Drosophila melanogaster: one gene and its partner. The protein of the gene in region 1 interacts with the protein of each later gene in a pairwise test. Each region holds a gene or a part of one and is shown on either strand. Other genes may lie near its edges. The genes, in order: Alp6 and gNacalpha.

Region 1 (5,048 bases):
GTTTGTTCGGACTGCAAAACAATTATTAAACCATTAGGAGGTATGAATGGGGCGCTATATAAGGAAAGGGTTCTGTAAGCGGTTAAAATCATGTATCCGCGATTCCTCAGCCGTAACTATCCGCTGGCCAAGCATTTGTTCTTCGTCACCAGATACTCCTTTGGCCTGCTGGGCCTGAGATTTGGCAAAGAGCAATCGTGGCTTCACCTCTTGTGGCTGGTGTTCAATTTCGTTAACCTGGCGCACTGCTGCCAGGCGGAGTTCGTCTTCGGCTGGAGTCACTTGCGCACCAGTCCCGTGGATGCCATGGACGCCTTTTGTCCTCTGGCCTGCAGTTTCACCACGCTCTTCAAGCTGGGATGGATGTGGTGGCGTCGCCAGGAAGTAGCTGATCTAATGGACCGCATCCGCTTGCTCATCGGGGAGCAGGAGAAGAGGGAGGACTCCCGGAGAAAGGTGGCTCAAAGGAGCTACTATCTCATGGTCACCAGGTGCGGTATGCTGGTCTTCACCCTGGGCAGCATTACCACTGGAGCCTTCGTTCTGCGTTCCCTTTGGGAAATGTGGGTGCGTCGTCATCAGGAGTTCAAATTCGATATGCCCTTTCGCATGCTGTGTGTGATGTTGTAGCATGTCAGTGAGGATTAGATGTTCTGATTAGATGTTCCACAGGTTCCACGACTTTGCGCATCGCATGCCCTGGTTTCCAGTTTTCTATCTCTACTCCACATGGAGTGGCCAGGTCACTGTGTACGCCTTTGCTGGTACAGATGGTTTCTTCTTTGGCTTTACCCTCTACATGGCCTTCTTGCTGCAGGCCTTAAGATACGATATCCAGGATGCCCTCAAGCCAATAAGAGGTGGATGGTCCATTATGCATATGGCTAACATTAAATTCGGGTGTATACTTTCTAAATAGATCCCTCGCTTAGGGAATCCAAAATCTGCTGTCAGCGATTGGCGGACATCGTGGATCGCCACAATGAGATAGAGAAGATAGTCAAGGAATTTTCTGGAATTATGGCTGCTCCAACTTTTGTTCACTTCGTATCAGCCAGCTTAGTGATAGCCACCAGCGTCATTGATATACTATTGGTAATAGCCGTCCTTTTAAGTGATAAGCACACTAACTCAAACCAATAGTTTCTATAGTATTCCGGCTATAACATCATCCGTTACGTGGTGTACACCTTCACGGTTTCCTCGGCCATCTTCCTCTATTGCTACGGAGGCACAGAAATGTCAACTGAGGTGGGACAGGTCGAGTCTCTTGATTAACCTTTGACCTCTTTCATTTCTAGAGCCTTTCCTTGGGAGAAGCAGCCTACAGCAGTGCCTGGTATACTTGGGATCGAGAGACCCGCAGGCGGGTCTTTCTCATTATCCTGCGTGCTCAACGACCCATTACGGTGAGGGTGCCCTTTTTTGCACCATCGTTACCAGTCTTCACATCGGTGGGTTATAATCTGTATGGCACTTAGTGCAATCCACTAATGAAACCCTTTTTTAGGTCATCAAGTTTACAGGTTCGATTGTGGCACTGGCTAAGACGATACTGTGAAAAAGAGTGTTGAATTAAAAAATAACCAAGTACTTAAATTTAATAGCTACTATTTTGTATTAGTTTGTGGTTGCAGCCTAGCCCAAAAGTATGCAATTTACACAATACATATACAATTGTGCAGACTCGAAGTCAATTAATTGCCGGGGTCAAGGGTTCAAATGTGGGATTAAAGGGCTTGCCGTAAAGTTTGAACCATAAAGTTTTCTAGTAGCAGTGAAACCATTTATTCTTCATCGTTTAACAAAGCTACTGGCATGATTCAATAAATTTGAGTGCAATAAGTTAGCAATGTTTAAAAGTTGAGGCAAACAGGATTGCCCCGGCTTCAGATTGATTACGTAGGTCGTAGTATACGCAATCGGTTAATGGACAGAGAATCAAAGCCATAAGAAAGGCACGTGAGTGTGTTTTGGCATCGGTTTCGGTCTGTTCTACGACTTCTGTCAACTTAAACTTGGCCAGCCATAAATGATGATTTGATTGAACCGTCTAGATTAGTTTCCTTTGATTAGATTTACTCTGATACTGAGCGATAGCTCCGAGGCAGCGCCCAGTTCCTTGGTCGGTCAGTCGGTTTAGTCTTTAACCAAGGTCTGACCTCCACACCACGCCTGGGATTAGCTGAAAATGGCCAGGAGATTCATTCTGTTGCTCGTCTTAGCTGTCTGCCTGAGCGGAAGTGCCAGCGGACAAAGAGGTAAGGTGCTCTGAAGCTGGATTTTAGAACTCAGCGATACCTCAAAAGTGTTTTTATTTAGAATAGTTCGAAAATGTTTAGGTATTTGAATTTATTTTGTTTTGTACGCCAGTTCAGGGAATTTATTTTACAAGCAGCTTAACTATTTAGATAACTACGAGTATAAAAACATGTCAGATTTTATGTTTGTCCTCCCAAAGGATGTGTTATTTTGACTGGCGCTGACTTGAGATTCAGCGTGCAGGACGAGGTACTTTGAGATTAAGTTCTTTAAAATAACTTCTTATCTTCCAAGTTTACTTGAAAAAAATGTGTAGAGGAGATAAGACTCAAATAATCCCATTGATATATAACAGAAAATCCAAACCCAAAATTATTTATGATCCTTCTATTTTTTGACCAATGCTAATAGTTATATTGGCTTATCGGAAACCTCTTATTGTTATAGTAATTATTGAACTATTTTGCCATTCTTTTCAGACCACCCTCGTGGGCGTTCCTTTGATGCCGAATCGCATCCGATCAAGTATGCAGAGGAGCAGCAGACCCAGTACTGGGTGGATAAGGCCCAGGCGAAGCTGTTATCGAAGCTGGCCGAGCAGGAGTCCGCGACCACAAACAAGGCGAAGAACGTGATTCTGTTCCTGGGCGATGGAATGTCCGTTCACACGGTCACGGCCACCAGGAATCTGCTAGGCGACAGTGCGGAGCAGGTGTACTTTGAGGGATTTCCCTACACTGGCTTGTCCAAGACCTACTGCGTAAACCGCCAGGTGGCCGATTCTGCTTGCACGGCCACCGCCTATTTGGGCGGTGTGAAGGCGAACTATGGAACGATTGGCGTTAACGCCAATGTGTCCAGGTACAGCTGTGATGGCGCCGCCAACGAGGAGGATCGGGTGCTCAGCATCGCGCATTGGGCACAGGCGGCTGGCAAGGATGCAGGTCTGGTGACTACAGCCCGGGTAACTCATGCATCCCCAGCTGGTGTTTATGCCCACATCGCGGATCGCAATTGGGAGAACGACTGGGAGGTGGCCAACAGGGAGTGCGATCCCGAGCAGACCATCGATATTGCCCGTCAGCTCGTGGAGCAGCCTGTGGGTCAGCAGCTGAAGGTAATCCTTGGAGGCGGTCGCAAGAACTTCATCGACGCAACGGTAAATGATGAGGAGGGTTATCCCGGCAAGCGTACCGACGGTCGTCACTTAATCCGCAGTTGGTTGGATCAGAAGAAGGAGGCCAATGTCTCAGCCAAATACGTGTGGAGTCGCAAGGGACTCAGTCTGGTGGATCTCGAGAATACGGACTACCTATTGGGTCTCTTTGCCAATGATCATCTGCCGTACAACGGTGATCGGGACAGGAAACGTAGTCAGTTGGCGGATCCTTCGCTGAGTGAGCTCACGGAGGCTGCCATCACGGTGTTGAGCCGCAATGACAAGGGATTCTTTCTCTTCGTCGAGGGTGCTCGTATCGACATGGCCCACCACGATACCTTCGCCAAGAGATCCCTCGAGGATACCGCCGAGTTTGCGAGGGCTGTCCAGAAGGCTCGCGAACTTACCTCCGAGGATGACACACTGATCGTGGTGACCGCTGATCATGCTCATGTTATGTCCATCAATGGTTATCCTGTGAGTACTTGAAAGTTTCCTTTCTAACAGCGATAGGTATTTGACTTATGATTTCTGAATTCCGGCAGTATCGTGACCAGGAGATCACCGGATTGGCTCAACTGGCGGATGATAATCTGCCCTATACGATTTTGTCCTATGCCAATGGACCTGGCTACTACTCCGGCTACAATCGCGCTGAGGGACGTGCCCTTCTAAAGGAGAAGTTGGTTGCGGACTCAGACTATCAGTATCCCACGCTGGCGCCCTTGGACGCAGAAACCCACGGAGGAGATGATGTGGCGGTGTATGCCTCGGGACCCTATGCCCAGTACTTCAGTGGCAACTACGAGCAAAGCAATATTCCGGCGCTGATGGCCAGAGCAGCGGGTATCGGGCCCTATGCCTAGGATTTGGCTGATTTTCTTGGCGCATGTAAAACTCCTCTCGCTGAGATGGAATAATTAAAATGCATCATTGCTAAACGAATCTTGCATGGGAAACTGTACCGGGAATGGGGCAAATCGAATTCCGTCTAATTGAACTGACAAGCTGTGCAATTTCCTGTGGAGCAGGGGAGCTGCCCCCCCAATAAATGCCACCTGACGGCAAATTCAATTAACTAGCAATGGCAACTGGCATCTGACAACCTGCAGGCAGCCTCAATCAGTCAGCTGCAATCACTTTGGGGCTGAGCCAATTGACCAGGTGGTTTCTGGCCAAATGAAGAGAGAAACGCGGCCAGAAAGAATGGCCAGCCATCAGCCATTATATGTTTCATCATAAATCCCAGAAAATATGACATTCAAATGGAATCCATCGACAATCCGTGCATTTCCTGCTTTAAAGATGGCTATGAATATCTAAGTGGATTTATTTAAAATGGGCTTTGACTGTCAAAGAAATACATTCAATGGATTCAGGTTGGAATCGTCAGCAAGGTAACAAAAATCAGCGCTGAAAATCCTCCTGGAAAAAATTTATCATATCTTTCCGAAGGATAAGGCTTTAAAATTAACATTTTTCCCATATTTTCAATCGCACCTCTATAAGAATGTTTCATTTTGGATTCAGTTAATGCATAGTGTTCCAGTTTTATATGGATATTTCGGGACCCTGGAGTCTCAAACTCCATTTTGCATCATTTTGATCTTTTGAACCTATTATCAAA
Region 2 (3,770 bases), on another chromosome or scaffold:
TTCATTTTTCATGCACAGGCCGTGGCAGCAGAAACTAAACTTCGAGGCTAAGACTAAGCCCCAATAAGTTGGATGGGCCCAGATGACACCGCAGCATATGGGGCGGATAATTAATCATGGGACGAACGTGCCAGGACGCCCAAAAACTTTTCACCCTTCTCCGGCTCTCCGGGTCTCCGAGTTCCAAGTCCGCGCAGAACTTAACTTAACCGAGCAACATTGAATCGAATCGACCGAGATGTTAAGATGCGAGGACTCATGGCTGGGCAAAGGGAATATCTGATTAGTTGGCCTCTCGAATTTAATTATGGTGACAGGACAGACTCTGCGGCGGCAGCCGGATGCATCCTCGGTCTCCTGCCCTCCACATCCTCCTAGTCCTCCTCCTGCTGCTTCATTCGCCTCTCCTGAATAATTTGTGCAACTCAATTAGGCGTTGACCCCACGATAAAGTTTAATAATTGCAGGTGGTGGACGCCCTTCTTTCGCTCGAACTTTAATTAAAAGAACCGAGCAATTAAAAACGCATCATCAGACAGAGCGCAGCGGCTTGCAGAAAAAATGCAATACATGCTCCCGATTACCACATACCTGTTATGTAGGAAATAGGAAAGGTCAGAATTCATGAAAATTATGCTAAATGTTATGTTAACTCCATTGGGGATTTGATCCATACGTGCTCATATTCTTATTGTACGGTTGTCTCGAATTGTGATGTAATTTCCGTAACACGAAGAGCGCCCTAATAGGGCGTGGCACTTTTTTAATGCACTTAGCAAGTGTTTTTTCGCCACACGCAGAACGCAAAACAGGATCACACAGCCCCGCCCTGAACCGCCTGATCTGGGAAATTCGGGAGCCGGAAAACCGCAAGGAAAACCGCACGTGTAACCGCGCTTGCTCCACCGCGTCGTGTTTGTGGGGCTGCTCCGCTTTGGAGGCAGACTGCGGTGCGACCACGACAGCAATTAACACGGAGGAACCAGCTTCAGATTCAGGTCTTTGGCATTTTCCGGGCATCCGAGTTTTACGACTTTGCATATTCGAATATTACCCAAATAACCGCTGAACTTTTCATTTCTCCACCACTTTTAAACTGGCTTTGTCAGGTGAAAATTTTCAAGCACGTCACTGCAGTGGATTGATTTGCAATCATCAATTTCGATAGAATTTGCGAGGCGCTGCAGCAAAACTTTTATAACCGCGAAATTAAGTGCACAGTTCGAAGGCAGCTGACATTCTCGTTTGAAAAATACCAACTTTCTTCAGAGCAGCGCTGCTAACGCCTATAATCAGTTCACGATTGCACTGGGACCTATCGATATCGATAGACTTAGGCGTGCTCTGCATGTTCGAATGGCCGAGTGGCCATTTTAAAAACTTATAATCTTTCCGAAAGCAACACTTGATATTGTTTATTTCGCTATTTAGGTGCCATTAGCATAAAAAATTTCCAGTTTTCATTATGAAAAAACTTTTCGATAAGTATACCAAATTTCGCAACAGCACTTATCGAAGAGAGCAACACCAGCTGTCAAGCCACTGGAAGTTTCACCTCTGATATTTCCTGTCAAGTCTTTCCCGCAAGAGGTCACACCACGTGCGCTGCCAATTTGGAAATTTTTTTGGAGAAGTTGTCCTCGCAAATCTGTGATCGCAAATCCCTCAGTTGCTGTTTATTCCTCAAGATGGGTAAGAAGCAGAAAATGAAGAAGGCTGCCCAGATGGCGACCGCTGCCGAGAAATTGAAGACCGCTGCCGAGAAATCGAAGACCGCTGCCGACAACGTGGTGGCCAAAGAAAAGCCTGCCGAAGAAGCCTCTCCCTCACCAAGTGGCAGTGGAAAAAAAGGGAAGCCCAAGGCAACGCAAAAACCAAACGTCGCAAAGGCACTTCAGAAGGAGATCTCCAGTTCGGAAGACGCCTTGGATGTCAAGAATAAACCTCCGGCAGGCTTTAGTGGCGCAAAGGGGAAGCCCCACATCATGGGTCAAATGGACCCGGCCTACCGCAACAAGATCAAGAAGCTGATGAGCCTGGCCAAACAGCTGCCGCCCAATGTGTTCAGTCTGCCGAACTCGCAGAAGGAGGAGGGCGCCTCCGCCGCGAAATCCTGCGTAGTTGAGGATGATCAGAGCACGGACTCCGATGACGCCCCGGATCTCGTGGAAGCGGATCCCAAGGAGACCCAACCGGACGAGCAGGGTCAACTCGGTACGGTGGCCGTGCGAACACGTGAGGTATCAAAGCAGTCTCGCGGCGAGCGGAAGGCACGCCGGATCCTCATGAAGCTGGACCTGAAGCCCATGGAGAACGTGGCCCGAGTGACCATGAAGAAGGGCAAGAACATCCTCTTGTACATCGATCAGCCGGACGTCTACAGAGTGGCGCACTCGTCGACGTACATCTTCTTTGGGGAGATCTGCGTGGAGGACACTAGCACCACGTCCGTCGCCTCCCAGGCAGCTGTCAAGGCGGCCGAGCGATTCCGTGGAACCTCGCCTGCCGGGCGGCAAGGTAACGAGGATGGAAAAGCCCCTGGCGAGGAGTCCCCACACGACGACGACGACGACGAGAACGATGGCGAGGACGCGGATGCCATGGGCCTACATGCGAAGGACATCGAACTGGTACAGATGCAGGCCGCGTGCTCGCGCAAAAAGGCGATCCAGGCGCTGCTGAAGAACGACAACGATGTGGTCAATGCCATCATGGCCCTGACTGTGGGTTAAGTCGCTCTGAGTGGCTCCTTTGTATTCAAAGTCATGAAATAAAGAGAATTTCAATAACATCCATGTTCGCCATAGAAATTAATGGTAATTAAATGATTACAATCAAATCGTAAACTTTCATGTTGTTTTTATTTACTATACTTTCATGTAATCCAGACAATCCTTTCGGACTTCACTTCTCCTGGTGGATGGCTTGTTCTACAAGAATGACAATCTCCGGTGCCAATGTAGCTCGTACTATATTAAATGCCGATCATTTCCTGGTTTTTGAAAATGTTTTCGGTCCCAGCAGAAGAATCCCACTGAAGAACCCCTTTGTACAGCGAAATTGCCATCTTATTTCAATTTTCTAATGAATTGACATTTCCACCATTTCCATCTTGGCACAGTGAAAGCATTTTCCGAAGGGCGAAGAACGCATATGCGAACCCGAACCATTTTCATTATACTCGTATTTGCTCTTCCATCAGCGCTAGACTTTGGCAATTTTCCTTTCAGGTACCGTCATTCTTGGACATTTTCTCTGTGGCGGAAACTTAATCGCTTCTTTCTTTGTGCCGCTGACGCTGCACTCTTGTTTACTCTGCACTTAGTTTTTAGCCATTTGGCGAAGTCCCCCGGCACTCGACTTTGCATTTTTTGCTGGCGAATTTTTGACGACGCCGTGATTGCGTTTCAGCTCTTTCAGGGGATTTCAGGGGTACTCCCAGGTGAGACAGGTGACGTCGCTGCTGGTGACGTGGCTACGCAAGTCCTGCTCCGCGGACATTTGACTCAATTAAATGGCTCGACTACGTTCAACGTCCCTTTTCTGGCCCCAAAAGCCACTTAATGACTAGCTCCGGCTCTAACTGAACTTTTTTTAATTTTCAGCTGTCGTCAGCAGCCGTAAAAAAGGCTTTAGTTTTGCATTGTGGGCGCTCAACAGTCCGTGCGGCTGAGCACGTGCCCGCTTTTTCGCCGGAAAAGTGGAAATGGAAACTTTGTAGGTGGGACGCATTCACCTTCTTCGTTCTGTACACTCATATAGTGCGAGTA

What was found.
Region 2: the proteins of Alp6 (region 1) and gNacalpha interact in a two-hybrid assay, tested with the Drosophila melanogaster proteins (one large-scale study listed by BioGRID).

Annotation. Positions count from the first base shown.
Region 1 is NT_033778.4:9,559,508-9,564,555, forward strand, and holds Alp6 (alkaline phosphatase 6), read left to right. Parts: upstream 1-2,130; 5' UTR 2,131-2,191; coding exon 2,192-2,261; exon of another isoform or gene 2,262-2,741; coding exon 2,742-3,898; exon of another isoform or gene 3,899-3,966; coding exon 3,967-4,287; 3' UTR 4,288-4,364; downstream 4,365-5,048. Other genes in the region: Or45b (odorant receptor 45b), read left to right, coding at 91-614, 673-860, 920-1,095, 1,153-1,251, 1,302-1,454, 1,511-1,561.
Region 2 is NT_033779.5:1,035,691-1,039,460, forward strand, and holds gNacalpha (germinal nascent polypeptide-associated complex alpha subunit), read left to right. Parts: upstream 1-1,555; 5' UTR 1,556-1,688; coding exon 1,689-2,732; 3' UTR 2,733-2,816; exon of another isoform or gene 2,817-2,843; intron 2,844-2,888; 3' UTR 2,889-2,995; downstream 2,996-3,770.